2 linked regions of the Xenopus tropicalis genome follow. The protein of the gene in region 2 purifies or fractionates together with the protein of the main gene of each other region. This does not show direct contact. Links are inferred from orthologs where the notes say so. Each region holds a gene or a part of one and is shown on either strand. Other genes may lie near its edges.

The links. The genes of interacting proteins can lie anywhere in the genome.
Region 1: the proteins of copa (region 2) and copz1 fractionate together in Homo sapiens (co-fractionation; 6 studies listed by BioGRID and IntAct, with this or other methods). This does not show direct contact. The link is inferred for Xenopus tropicalis from reciprocal best matches to the Homo sapiens genes COPA and COPZ1.

Annotation. Positions count from the first base shown.
Region 1 is NC_030678.2:145,582,284-145,589,905, forward strand, and holds the start of copz1 (coatomer subunit zeta-1), read right to left. Parts: upstream 4,602-7,622; 5' UTR 4,514-4,601; coding exon 4,496-4,513; intron 1,383-4,495; exon of another isoform or gene 727-1,382; coding exon of another isoform or gene 709-726; intron 509-708; coding exon 440-508; intron 1-439. UniProt on the Homo sapiens protein: The coatomer is a cytosolic protein complex that binds to dilysine motifs and reversibly associates with Golgi non-clathrin-coated vesicles, which further mediate biosynthetic protein transport from the ER, via the Golgi up to the trans Golgi network.
Region 2 is NC_030684.2:137,301,955-137,309,080, reverse strand, and holds part of copa (coatomer subunit alpha), read right to left. Parts: intron 5,013-7,126; coding exon 4,899-5,012; intron 4,381-4,898; coding exon 4,307-4,380; intron 4,221-4,306; coding exon 4,140-4,220; intron 3,942-4,139; coding exon 3,865-3,941; intron 3,763-3,864; coding exon 3,653-3,762; intron 363-3,652; coding exon 253-362; intron 176-252; coding exon 76-175; intron 1-75. UniProt on the Homo sapiens protein: The coatomer is a cytosolic protein complex that binds to dilysine motifs and reversibly associates with Golgi non-clathrin-coated vesicles, which further mediate biosynthetic protein transport from the ER, via the Golgi up to the trans Golgi network.

The DNA.
Region 1 (7,622 bases), on a different chromosome or scaffold from region 2:
AGAGATTTATTTTCCCTTAGTGGCTGCAGTAGTCACAACCTGGTGCTACAAAAGGAGTCAATGGATTGGCACTGTATTAACTTGCAAGACCAATGCCTATTGCTGCCCTAAATGAAATAAATGAGTGCATGAAGCTTTGACACACTAGTATCACAATAGCAGCACATCTACATGACTTGTGCTTATATACCACATGTACAGTCTCAAGTTTGAAGTTGCTGTGTGTTTTATACATTCGTTCTGGATCAGCATGTTTGTACATAAAAGAACAAAAGGGAAGCATCTTTGAATCATGCATTTATAATGCTTCTATGCTGCATCTGCTTATAGACACAATGAGAAAATATCAAGTGCAAGGACATACACACTGATGTCTATAGGTGAAACTGGCAGCACTAAGGGCTAGCAGTCACCAATATGCACTTTTATTAAAACCTACCTTAGCAAAGAGCCGCTCCCCATCATTGTCCAAAATTAAAACAGCTTTCACTGTGTACAAGGAAGGATCCTGCCAAGAGAAACACAATAATCACTCTAACCTTGCAACAAAGGAGGAAAGCAATCTGTCGTGCCCAGGAAAATAAAGAGAGAAATGTGTGATGGCTGGGAGGAAATATTTATAGAAGAAGCCAGTTTGTGTGATATGGAAAGACTATTTTTTTAATGTTAAGGACAGTAATAATAAAGTAAATGTCTGCATATACTTACAGCCTTTTCAAGCAACATGGCAACTCCCTTACATACTATATGTATAACTGTGATATCATACAGACACCTACAAAAGAAACTGTGGTGTCACAGAATAAACAGAGGAATATAATACTGGTATGGTTGTTCTCGTGACATGGGTTTCCCATATAAATGCAAAAAACAGAGGCAATACCCTTCATCCACTATATATTATGACCCATCCACTAACACCACTTATTATATTTCCCCAATAAGTAGATCTAGCTAAAGATAAAATCCCCTTCAGGCTGCCAGATTTCTAGTTGACATCAATCTGATATCCTAAGGCACAATGAACGTTCTTCATACCGGGAGGAATGCCTGATTTGTAAATGAATTACTCTGGGCACAGAGCTGATCTTGTACTTGCACACAAGGCTATCCTTGTATAATGCACAGTTTGTGACAAAAGAGAGAAAAGTGGAATGGAAGAGATAAGACCACATTTGACAGAATAACCACAGGAAGGATGTGGGGTATAGTGAGACTTTTTGGACCTTTCATGCTCCACTTGTCAGCCAGTCCATTAGCCTAGAGAGAGCTCACTTTAATGGAGTAGTGAAGCCCTCGAGACAAAGTTCTGTGATGCACTGACTTCCACTTACTCACAGCCGGAGTGTATAACAGAACTTCACCTCAAACGCTGTTCCTCATTCGCATGTAGTTCCACCTCTCTGCCATCCATGTACCAAGATACATGCATTCTATATGCTGCATTGCACTTCTTGTAGCTGATTCAACTGTACAGCATTGCCCTACCAACCCAAGAATGTTTGTGATTCCCAACACATTAATAAGGAATACATTAATACAGGAAATAAATATCAACACCCTCCAACAAAAAACATAAAAAATTATTTAAGTGTTCTAGGACCATATCAAGGGAAAATAGATAACAGAAATCCTTTTGAACTTCCAGTATCCTTATACCCTTAATATCTAGAAGTTTAACTGCACCAGGAGGGGCACAGTTTGACTGTCACTGTGACAAAAGTGCCATAACTGAGAACGGATCAGATCTAAGCAATATTTACAAGGAAAGTTTTCTTTGGCTTAGTAACCCACAGCAATCAATTAGTAATTCACTCTGATTATTCAATTGTAATAAAAGTAACAGAAGGAAAATCCTTGCTGGGGCTTATCCTCCAGGTTAAAATTGACACTGAAAATTCTAAATCCAGGTAGACAATATTTTTTGGGAAAGGCTTGAAATCCAGCAGACCTCTCACATTATACTTAAAGGGGACAAATGGTGTCAAGAAGAAGCATTTTTTCATTGCATTATACACTTCTAAATACATGTATGTACCTTTAAGTTTCCTTTGGTGTTGCTGAAAAAGTTACGTAAATGTAAAAAACTTGCTAGCACCATTCACCGAATTGAGCTGCTGCTTTCCCAGGTTGAGAAGGAGATTATGTGGCACTCAGCACTTGCATTGTAGGATGCCATTCAATCAGCAGCTAGACAGACCTGAGAGGGAACTGCAAATAATGTTCCCTGTGTGAATCAGAGCTGGGGTTGGATACCCACTATCTACTGTTCTTCTGGGGAAACCTGTTAAACTACCTCTCTGTATTAGAAATGCGCATGATGCTTTTAGTTAGATAAATGCAATATATTCCATTTTATATTTCAATAACAAACTATATTTAGCACGTTGTCCCTGCTTTTCAGTCATCTTATAGTTCAACCACCAGACGAGGATGCCCCTTGGGAAACACCGATGACCCTGAATTCAATTAATGGTTTACCACTTACCATAGGAAAGTCATTATTTGCATGTTTGTCCAAACACAAAGGAGCCAATTTACTGTGCTATACCTGGAGTTTGGAAAGCGTTAGCACTTAATGCCTGTTCTGGTTCTACCTTTTATTTGTGGTTGATGGACACGTTCACTTTCCAATTTGTGAGTGGTAACTGATACTGTCAGTATTAAACTATTTGGTTTTTAGTTGTTCTGTTCAGTTTATGCCTAGGGTGCTGACTGAGAATATAATTTATGCTACTGTTCAAAGACAGCAATGTATGATATTCTTGTTAAAGGGAATATATAAAAGGAAGAAACATGGAATAGTAATAAAAACAGAGCATAGATTCAGGCATGTATGAATTCTTTACTGAGTTAGTCCCTATCAAGGTGTCATTGACTCTGCTAGCAGATGTTACCTGTTCTTCTCAATTCCCAAACAACCTCTTTATACAATGATTCTCTTTCAAGAAACTAACATGCCATGTGTCAATATTTGGGGGAACAGTCATTCAAAAGTAGATAAACACAGCAAAGACTAAGTTTAAAGTAGACATATATCATAAATGAAATATATGGTGCTGGTTTCACTCTGGGCTAAAAATAATCATTAGCTTTAAAAATGGCCTTTTTATTAAAGCTTCCTAATGAATTTCTTTCAAGAAACTTACATGCCATGCGTCAATATTTGGGGGAACAGTCACTCAAAAGTAGATAAACACGGCAAACACTAAGTTTAAAGTAGACATATAGCATAAATGAAATATATGGTGCTGGTTTCAGGTTTCACTCTGAGATAAAAATAATCATTAGCTTTACAAAATGGCCTTTTTATTAAAGCTTCCTATGGATCTGCCTGTCCATGTTTCAAGTGGTGGTGGGGGGGGGGGGGGTATGTCCTAATGGTCCCTGCCAGAAGCACAGTAGGAGGGGCATAGCCAATCACACACGCAAATGACGATTTCAGTTCCCTATCAGGTCTGGGAAAGAAGGCAGTGGGAAGTGGAAAAAATGGGTAGGACTAGTAGGGTTTTGGATACATTTTCAATAAATCGGCCAAAAACTTCTCAGCACATTTATTCTAGATTTTGAGGTGCATAATGCACTAGAACTTTCTTGTTTTTACCCAATACAATACCCTTTAATCACAACCTGTAAAGAGAGATTCTATAAAACTATATCTGGGATATGCAATACCCCATGGGAAACAAAATCCTGCAAAAAAAAATTGTTAAGAGTTTAAATGCCTGATACAGATATTGTATTGTGTTAAAACTGTTCTATATTTCTTCTACCATCAGCCATAGCCCAACTGCTGTTGTTAAACTGCAAATAGACTAATAGCAACAATCTGACATGCATAAGCGCCAGGCCTGTCCAGTCTAACCCAAAGAGATTTCAGAATAGCCCAGACACCTTTCTTTTTCCTTAAAAGCCCAATCAATCATCTACTACTACTACTATTACTACTACTACTATTTACTATTACTACTATTACTACTACTACTATTACTACTACTATTTACTATTACTACTACTACTATTTCTACATAAAAATCAGGCAGATTAGGAAGGAAACACACACCCACACAAGGAATATCAGAAGGGGTATAGCACTATAGAGTTTGGCACACTATATTCAGAAAATGTCACTACCAGATATTTTTTATTATTTCTGTGCCAGCAGCCCTTGCCCAGTCCTGCCATTCAATAGGGGGTCCCTGGCACAGGCTCACCATGGCGTAAGGCTCAGGTGCAACATCCCTGAATGACAAAAAGTAACTACTTTGCTGCACGATATCTCCTACAGGTCCCAAAATGAATAGCTACCCTAGCGTTTGAACGTATGCTGGGAGTCACAGCCCAAAGCCTGCCACTGACAGACCCTAACCACTCGTCCCCTGTCCCTACACAGCAGCCTGGCCAGCTAAACAAACGATTGCAACCACCATAGAAAAATAAAGTTTTACCGGCCCCCTCACACTAAAATCAAAGCTATTTCCGCGGCCTCACTCACCAACAGTATAGCATCCATCTTTCTCTATCCTGCTGACGTGGAGCAAAGCGCGCGTTGGCTAATTCATCTGCCAATCAAAACTTTAGCCGCGCCTCCTCGCTCAGTCTGATTGGAACAGGAAGAAGAAGGGTGTGGCTAATAGCGTCTAAAGCTTTTTAATTGGTTGATGGTTTCAGTCACTGACAGGCGGAACACGAATGCGTCTACGTTGGAAGCGGAAGCTGCTTTTATTGGGCAAATGGTTACCATGGCGGAGGAAATAGATGTAAATTACTGTGTCACTAATAGTTTAAAGCTCCACCCTGCTGTTACGCTACAGCTCGGACATTGGAATGAATTGATAGGTCGGTTGACTTTGCGTAAAAACTGTGCTTAGTGCTCTTGGTTCCAATCCAGTGTTCTGCACTATGTTAGCCAGTTGAAAAAGTTGTAGTGTGAAACTTCTGACATGAAGCATAACAAAAGTGGCGTAGATGTGTTGTGGGTATTGGCTGCCTAAGATGATAATCTCAGCAAAGAGTTCCTTCACCAAAGCTGATTACAAAGAAGCAATGTTGGTTCTTATATACAGGATTTTGTACCCAAACAACAAGAGGAAACAAAAAGGAAAACACATAAGCATAATTAGGATGTAAGGAGAGATATGTATGGGGACGTGGGTGATGCAAAGGGGTTAGGGTTTCCACCTTTTCTGGAGAAAACTACTTACTTTACTTTTTTAAAGCAGTAAAAATAATAATGTGCTAATAAGTGAATCTTTTCATTAGGGGTCAGTGCAGTTTAAATGTAAGTTTTCTCAAAGTAACTTGCATAAGCGTAGGGGGCCAATGATGTTGCTGTGGGGCCCAATAACCAGTCATTCCACTGCTGAAAAGTTAATGTAAAGAATACTCATAGAATTCAGTAAATAGATCCCAAATAAAAACAGAGATATTACTCTATAATAAGCAGTTCATATAAATGGTTAAAATGAATAATTAATGTGCTAATAAGTCAGTTCATTGGGGGAGGTAGAATTTACCATTCATTGGTGGTTACTGGAGTTTTCCCTTCTCTGCATTGTCTTTTGCTTGTACGCAAGTTTTTATGCAAGTTACACAAGTTTCTAGGCAGGTTTAAGTTACGTAAATTGATTTAGTTTTGCCATAACTTTATATGTACGTTAGGCAATTTGCGTAACTTTCCCCACATAGCAATGGCAGCCCTGGTTATTCTTATAATATCTCACAGCCCCCTATTTTAACATTAATCATTTTCCAATATTGAATCCCTATTTAGATATTTGAGTTCGAGATTTGGAAACTCTAGTTTATAAACCTTTACTAATATTTCTGTATGTTAGTTTTTTCATTCTAATAACTACCTATTCCTTTTCCCTATTTACTGAAGGCCACACAGGCATTCAATACAATAGATAACGTTATCATTAATACACTTAATTGTTCATTGGCCCATATATGGAGCTCTTGAGTGATCCTGCCTGGTCGATATCAAGCAAGAAAGACAAAAAAGGGGGGGGGGGTGAATCTACATAGTAAACTGTGGATGGCCCCTCTAAAGCTGGTTTCCTAGACATGGAAACTCAGATGTCTATATATAAAATACATACTGCCATAAATAATGTAAAATTAGAGTAATATAAGGGGATGGCCATTTTCCACCCCTTTTATACATATCTTAGTGCTAGGTGCAAGCAGCACTGCCTTCAGACACAGGACCAACTCTACCTTCCATTTCAGAAGTCTGTCACCGGCTGGTACAATTTACAGAGGGACATTATGATATATATATTTTCACATTTTGCACTAGGAATATACCACATGTAAGATTTGCTTTTGAACTTGGTCAATATCCTAACACTTTTTGCAGGTTTTGAATTCTTCCACATTTCTAAGAGTTGGGGTTTGGTTAGACAGAACAATAAAAGCCATAGTGGACTCCAGAAATAATGGTGTAACAATTTTGCCATCCCTTTCCTGAATCATAGCATTAGAGCCACCTATTTTAGTTTTCTTCCTGCTGTCTGTTAATTGCATTGATACATATATATGAATGCTGCTAATATGCCACCCCTTTCTTAGTTGTTCTTCTATGAACAGGTTTCATATGATTATAATCTTTTCTCTAGGCATTGCAAAAATGCTAAATTAAAGGTGATGCCTTACCTATGCAGTCTTTCATAATAGAATCTACCCTAGGTAGGTTGGCTTACCTACAGTACCTTCATTATTATTAAAAAAAACTCAACTTTTTTGGAGGCCCTGTATGAACTGATTATTTATTAGTATGTAGTGTTTGCAGTTTATAGTGAACTGATCAGATCATTTCCTATGCTGATAACAAATGTTGTATTTATTTGTACTATGCATGTTTGGGAAATAACTGTAGGATAGTGCTTCTGTTTCAATTTCTTATTTGATAAAATACAACTTCCTTGCACAGGTTATACAGTGGTGTGAAAAACTATTTGCCCCCTTCCTGATTTCTTATTCTTTTGCATGTTTGTCACACAAAATGTTTCTGATCATCAAACACATTTAACTGTTAGTCAAAGATAACACAAGTAAACACAAAATGCAGTTTTTAAATGAGGGTTTTTATTATTTAGGGAGAAAAAAAATCCAAACCTACATGGCCCTGTGTGAAAAAGTAATTGCCCCCTGAACCTAATAACTGGTTGGGCCACCCTTAGCAGCAATAACTGCAATCAAGCGTTTGCAATAACTTGCAACGAGTCTTTTCCAGCGCTCTGGAGGAATTTTGGCCCACTCATCTTTGCAGAATTGTTGTAATTCAGCTTTATTTGAGGGTTTTCTAGCATGAACCGCCTTTTTAAGGTCATGCCACAACATCTCAATAGGATTCAGGTCAGGACTTTGACTAGGCCACTCCAAAGTCTTCATTTTGTTTTTCTTCAGCCATTCAGAGGTGGATTTGCTGGTGTGTTTTGGGTCATTGTCCTGCTGCAGCACCCAAGATCGCTTCAGCTTGAGTTGACGAACAGATGGCCGGACATTCTCCTTCAGGATTTTTTGGTAGACAGTAGAATTCATGGTTCCATCTATCACAGCAAGCCTTCCAGGTCCTGAAGCAGCAAAACAACCCCAGACCATCACACTACCACCAC
Region 2 (7,126 bases):
ACCCCACAGTGAGACGTTAGCAAACCACCAACATCCAAAGAACTAACATAAATGGTGGAAGAGTGAAGCGCTCACCGTTCATCCTCCAGATTTTGACTTGTCGGTCATCTGCTCCAGATACAATGAGAGGCATGGTGGGGTGGAAGGCAGCCCAGTTAACGCCACGATCGTGCCCCTGCAGAGAGACGGAGAAGGGTCATGCCTGGGATTTTCTCTAGGATGTACATATAACTCTATGGCTGCGCTCAGTACCTCTAGTACATGCTTCACTACAGCATCCGACGTCCCAAACAGATCCACCCCAGAGATTCCCCGGACATCAGCTTCCACTGCTCCAGGAGACAGGTTCTTCTTCCTCAGGCCTTTCCGTGAGAGGAGAGCAGGGCGGGGTAAGAGAAGCAAAGCAGCAATGTGATATACAATAGCCAGACTTACCAACTGTGCCACCAAAACCACCGTGAAAAACTAAGCCTCTGTGTTGCTGGTTTTCCCCATGTATTCTGTTTGGAATTCAAACTATACGGTTGCTAAGGGAATTGACCCAAACATCCAGCAGTGATTTGAAATGCAAACTGGGAGATGGACTATATCTGCTTTCTGGTTGCTGGGGGTCACTGACTCAATTTCAGGGCAAGGTTTGATTGGAGAAACGCCAGCTGACAGGTATGACTAAGATTTTCAGGTGGATCTTAGCGGTACACAAACATAATGGCACAATGAGCATCGGTGGAAACGAAGTAATGGAGGGCCCCCGGCCTGGATCTGAAGATGGCTGCAGGCCTCCGCTGGCAAGTGATGCAGAGGCATGAGTGGAAAATGTCTGGAACTGCACAGACCCAGAGGGCAGGGAAGGACACTTTGGATGGACCAGTGTGCTAACTTGATGGTGGGGTGGTGGGTTAATGGGGGTGCTGAGGGTTAGATCCTGCATGCATGCACGTGGGGGAGAATTACAGGGAAATGGGTTCAAGTCATAATGGAGAGGCCAGAGGTGCATAGTGGTTAGCTTGCAGGCATTGAGCTTTCTGGCACAGGAACTATGGTGTGTTCTGGTAATGCTGAAAAAAACACTAGAATTCTTCATGGATTATGTAAAAGTGAGTGCAGGAATGGCCAAACCAGGGGCTCCGGTCATGCAAACTGCAATATATGGGCAAACGATCCACTTTCCTGGGAGATATTTGCACAAAATACCTTGAGTGTTGCTTTATTGTTTGGATATGGGTAAGTGTGGGGGATCAGTGCACCCACAAACTGTATGAGTAGTGCTATACAGACTGGAGATCACACCCAGGACTGGAGCAAATGGAAACAGCAGCAGGGATTTAACTGAAGGAGCATTTTATGTTCCGCTTGTAAATAATCCCTGTAGTACCAGAGCCGCTGTGCCAATGCCAGTGTGTGACATATAGCCGCTCTGGTTACCCCCGAGCCGCTGTGTCAATGCCAGTGTGTGACATATTGCTAGTTACCCCCAAGCTGCTGTGCCAATGCCAGTGTGTGACATATTGCTAGTTACCCCCAAGCTGCTGTGCCAATGCCAGTGTGTGACATATTGCTAGTTACCCCCGAGCCGCTGTGCCAATGCCAGTGTGTGACATATAGCCGCTCTGGTTACCCCCGAGCCGCTGTGCCAATGCCAGTGTGTGACATATAGCCACTCTGGTTACCCCCGAGCCGCTGTGCCAATGCCAGTGTGTGACATAAAGCCGCTCTGGTTACCCCCGAGCCGCTGTGCCAATGCCAGTGTGTGACATAAAGCCGCTCTGGTTACCCCCGAGCCGCTGTGCCAATGCCAGTGTGTGGACATAAAGCCGCTCTGGTTACCCCCGAGCCGCTGTGCCAATGCCAGTGTGTGGACATAAAGCCGCTCTGGTTACCCCCGAGCCGCTGTGCCAATGCCAGTATGTGGACATAAAGACGCTCTGGTTACCCCCGAGCCGCTGTGCCAATGCCAGTGTGTGACATAGAGCTGCTATGGTTACCCCCGAGCTGCTGTGCCAATGCCAGTGTGTGACATATAGCCGCACTGGTTACCCCCGAGCCGCTGAATGCAGGCCCAGGAAATATCCCCAATACGACCATTCTGGTTGGGTATTTTAGAAAAGGATGCCCTCTGTATGTGATAAACCCTGGCCCTATACTGTGCTTAAGGAAACAATATGGCAGCTCCTAAATATGAATGTGCAGACAGGGGGATGTACAGCTGACAGTGTGAGAGGGCAGTTAGTCACGTAAGACAGTGGTTATCATTACAGCCGTGACACGGAGGCTGGATACATGAGATACACACACAGTTAGTTCTGCAGTCAGTTCTTACCATCCCATGATAGGGAACATTACTGCCGACATGCACACTGGAAAGGGTTAAACGGGTTTACCCAGCATGCACCCCACGGCAGTTAGACATAAACATTAGCATTTCATCCACAGAGGAAGAGACGGCAGCAAAGGTTCCTCTGGGCAGAGGATGAAGAGGGAGGCAGAGCCTTCTCACCTCCAGCCCAGGATTTCTAACAACTGGTCTTATCTGCCGTGTACTTATGTAATACTGCGGCCTGTCCCACCCACAACTGCAGGAGGGAAGCCATGGAGCAGGGGGGCAGCCTGGGCCCATTTACTAACCATATTCTAAACCTACAAATTAATTGGTCTTCATTTTTTACCAGTTTTTAAATGGGGGTCACTGACCACGGAAGCCAAAGAACTGTTTGCTCTGTGAGGCTCAGATTTTATTCAGGCTGCTCCTATTCATATGGCTCACTCACGCAACTGCTTGGTTGCTTGTAATTTGGACCCTAGCAACCACATAGCTGCTATAATTCCACACTGGAGAGCTGATGAACAAAAAGCTTCATAATTCGAAAACCACACGTAATAAAATAATGAAGACCAATTGCAAAGTGTCTCAGAACAGCACTCTGTACCCTTTAAGAGCGCCATGTTGCATCCAATTACCCATTTGAAGTCCTGGCAGGGGAGGAGAGACTAAAACAATGATGTTACAAATTGTAACAACTTCTCCACAGCTTACAGGAACTACATAACCCACAATGCATTGCACTGCGATGTTCCTTTCACGTGTGCAGCAGGGAATTGTGGGATTGGGAGGATGCAGGCTGAGGACAGGCGACTAATGTTACAAAGTAGTCAGCCAGATCAGCAAGAGAACAGGGGGCGGGGCTTAGGGAACTGTTTCAAACCATATCATTCCATTAAAAATCATGTAAAGGCTGCATATTTTTCAATTGATGATATTGCAAAGTTGCTTGAAACTATGTTGTGTTTGGGTGGAGTTCCCCTTTAACGGAGAACCACCATTGGGCCTTTAGCCTAATCCTATAGATTCCGAAGCAAACTAATCCAGGGGAAGACAAACAAAACCTAATCAGTGTGTGTGATATCTATTACTAGAAGTGCTGACATTACTACTTGTGATAAACGCGTCATGTGATAGATACTGGGCCGGACCACTGGTGGGGGAAACCATTTGTGGGTGAATTTCGGTGCCCTATGTATTGTTCAATGTGCTGCAACTCCCTGAAACTTGCATCTGACCCCCTACACCACTTCCCCTGCTCCAACGCTTCTCTCCCCGTGCAGTTGGGAATGGACAGGTACCACATGGACCCCCTCAACCTGGGCAGCTCACCAGAAATATCCCAAACGCGCACAGTCTGATCCAAGCTGGCAGATACCACCAGGTCTTCAGAGGGGTGGAACTGAGCACACATGACGTAATGGTTGTGACCCGTCAGAACGCTGCAATAGAAGGAGAAGGTTGTTACGGTGACACTAAGGGCAAGGATCCACCCAGCCAGCCAATCAGAGCCTCTGATGGACAGGAAACAAGCTCATTTTTACCAAACGCAAGTGCGAGATTGCCAGTTCCAGATGCGGATGGTCTGATCATCAGAGGCACTCAGGATCCAGGGGTACTCCTAATAACGACAGAACATGGCTTAGTGTTACCCCAGTATAACTCCTCCCCTTCCCGTCAATTTAAATACCAGTGACCTTTTCGATTGTCACTAAAGCCAATGGGAAGTGACGTCACAACAGAGCTGCTGTATGAGACTGTACATTAGCTGTGTGCTCATTGGCTAATGGAGAGGCTTGGGCCTAGGTGGCATACTTACATGATGGAAAAAGGTGGTGCGGATATAATCGAGATGTCCCAGCAGGGTGAAGAGGCAGCGCCGGAGCTTGTAATTCCACACCTTAACGAGACACAGTCGATAGTTACACCCCCCATCGAATTCTAGTGGTACGTTCCTGACGCCCACTAACATGTATCCCTCCTTACCTTGATTTTGTAGTCGTCCCCTCCTGATACGAACAATGGCTGCTGCTTGTGGAAGTCAATGCCACGGACGGGACCTAGGGGACAAGACCAACTGCCATTTAAAGGAGAAGGAAAGGCGTTTTGAAATTTTACTGCCAATACATTAGCCACAATAGGGCAAGCAGAAAGCTTTAATGTATTCTAGAAGCTCCTTCTGTTTGTTTAAGATAGCAGCTACCATTTTAGCTTGGTCTCAGTAGCTGCAGATCTGGCTGCTGGTAGCTTAGATTACAGAGTTGGGAGGAGGAGCGTATTCTGATGGGAGGAGCGGCGTATTCTGGTGGGAGGGGGAGCAGGAGAAGGGAGAGGGAGCAGGAGAAGGGAGAGGGAGCAGACTCCTGCCTATGCCCTGAGAGAGAACACGTGTACACAAAAAGAGACAAGAAATCCTGTGTTTCTTTTGATAGAGGACTCAGTGCAGCATTTCTGTGAGTGCTTACGGCATTATTTACATAGACCTTTCTGATAAAGCTTAGTTTTCACCTTTCCTTCTGCTTTAATGCATGCAAGGCTGTATAACAAGGGCCGTACATAGCGCCAATCGGCAACTCACCGTCGTGCTCATCAAACTTGTCGATAAGGGTGCACATGCGGTAGTCCCACAGCTGGATGACCCCATTGTGCAGGCTGGTGAGGACCCACGGTCTCTTCGGGTGGAAGCTCAGCCCTACGGCACAAAGCAAAGACAGAGTCATGCAATGCAGTCACCATATACTCGATACTCATGAGGGAATCCTGTGCCATTGTAAGGTACAAGTTGCCCTTTGCTGATCCGGAAGAAAGGGGCAAGGATGAGAGGGGGTTGGGTTGCTACTACTGCTTATTGGTTGCTTTTAGTGTTCATGATATTAGCCTCTGCACACAGCTATTATCAAACATTTGCAGAGCGCCCCCTGCTGTTCTATCTGCCCAGTCAAAGCTAAAATGACTGATACAGAAAGCGTCTCCTAATGCTCCTCTGCTCAGCCCTGTCACAAACACAGCAGGCTCCTGTACAGGCTTGGGATTGCTCATCCCCAAACCCATTATCAAGAAAGCTCCCAATTACAGAAAATCCATCTCCCATAGACTCCATGTCAATTGAACAAATCAAATATTTAAAAATGATTTCCTTTTTCCTCTTTGCAATTGGTCTTCATTTTTTATTATTTGTAGTTTTTTAATTATTCCAGTTTTTGTTCTGCAGCTCTCTCAGCAACTATTTGGTTGCTAGGATCCAAATTACATTAGCAACAAGGCAGTGGTTTGAATGAAAGAATGATATATAAATAGGAGAGAACCAGAATAAAAAAATAAGTAATATAAAGTAACAATAGTTTTTCTGGCTGCCGGGGTCGGTGACCCCCATTTATAAGCTGCAAAGAGTTAGAAGAAGAAGGAAAATAATTCAAAAACTATGAAAAACAATTAATGAAGACTAACTGAAAAGATGCTTAGATTTGGCCTTTCTATAACATACTCAAAGTGTACTTAAAGGAGTACAACCCCTTTAATAGCCTGAGACAATTTGCAACTGGTCTTTAGTTATTTTCCAGCAGTTCTCCAGTTTGGAATTTCAGTAGGTATCGGTTGCTAGGGTCCAAATTACTCTAGCAACCAGGCAGTAGTTTGAATGAGAGACTGGAAAATGAACAGGAGAGGAACTGACTAGAAAGTAATAAAAAGTAACAATAACAGTAAAATTGTAGCCTCACAGATCAAATGTTTTCGGTTGCCGGGGTCAGTGACCCCCATTTGAAAGAAAAAAATAAAATAATTCAAAATCCATAAGAAATAAAAAAAATGAAGACCAATTAAAAAGTTGCTAAGAACAAGCCATTCTATAATATACTAAGGGTTATAGGGCCCCAATAGGCACCAAACGCATTAGGCTTTTTCTTGTTCTAAATAAATGTACTTTTAACTTCACCTTTATCATTATTTTTTTTTTAGTTGGGGGGGGGGGCACAATTATTACATTACACAGCCACACTGTTTTATGGGTATCTTCTCCCCTTTTATAACTATACCCCATATTTAAGTATAATTCCTTTGAGCAAATGACTAACGGCAACGCTGCAAGGCACTGTAGGAACTGGAGACCAAGTTGTTTCAAGAGTTGCTACATTGTTTCAGGAGTCAGAACCAGCAGAGGAGAAAGGGATAATGTTATTCATAGCAACAAATAAAGGGGGTGCAATCAGTGTGTATACAGTTAATAAGAGGGGGTACAGCTATTGGGGTAACAGATAAGGGGGTGCAATCAGTGTGTATACAGTTAATAAGAAGGGGTACAGCTATTGGGGTAACAGATAAGGGGGTGCAATCAGTGAGTATACAGTTAATAAGAGGGGGTACAGTTACTGGGGTAACATAAGGGGGTGCAATCAGTGTGTATTCAGTTAATAAGAGGGGGTACACCTACTGGGGTAACAAATAAGGGGGTGCAATCAGTGTGTATACAGTTAATAAGAGGTGGTACAGCTATTGGGGTAACATAAGGGGTGCAATCAGTGTGTATACAGTTAATAGGAGGGGGTACAGCTATTGGGGTAACAGATAAGGGGGTGCAATCAGTGTGTATACAGTTAATAAGAGGGGGTACAGCTATTGGGGTAACAGATAAGGGGTGCAATCAGTGTGTATACAGTTAATAAGAGGGGGTACAGCTATTGGGGTAACAGATAAGGGGGTGCAATCAGTGTGTATACAGTTAATAAGAGGGGGTACAGCTACTGGGGTAACAGATAAGGGGGTGCAATCAGTGTGTATACAGTTAATAAGAAGGGGTACAGCTATTGG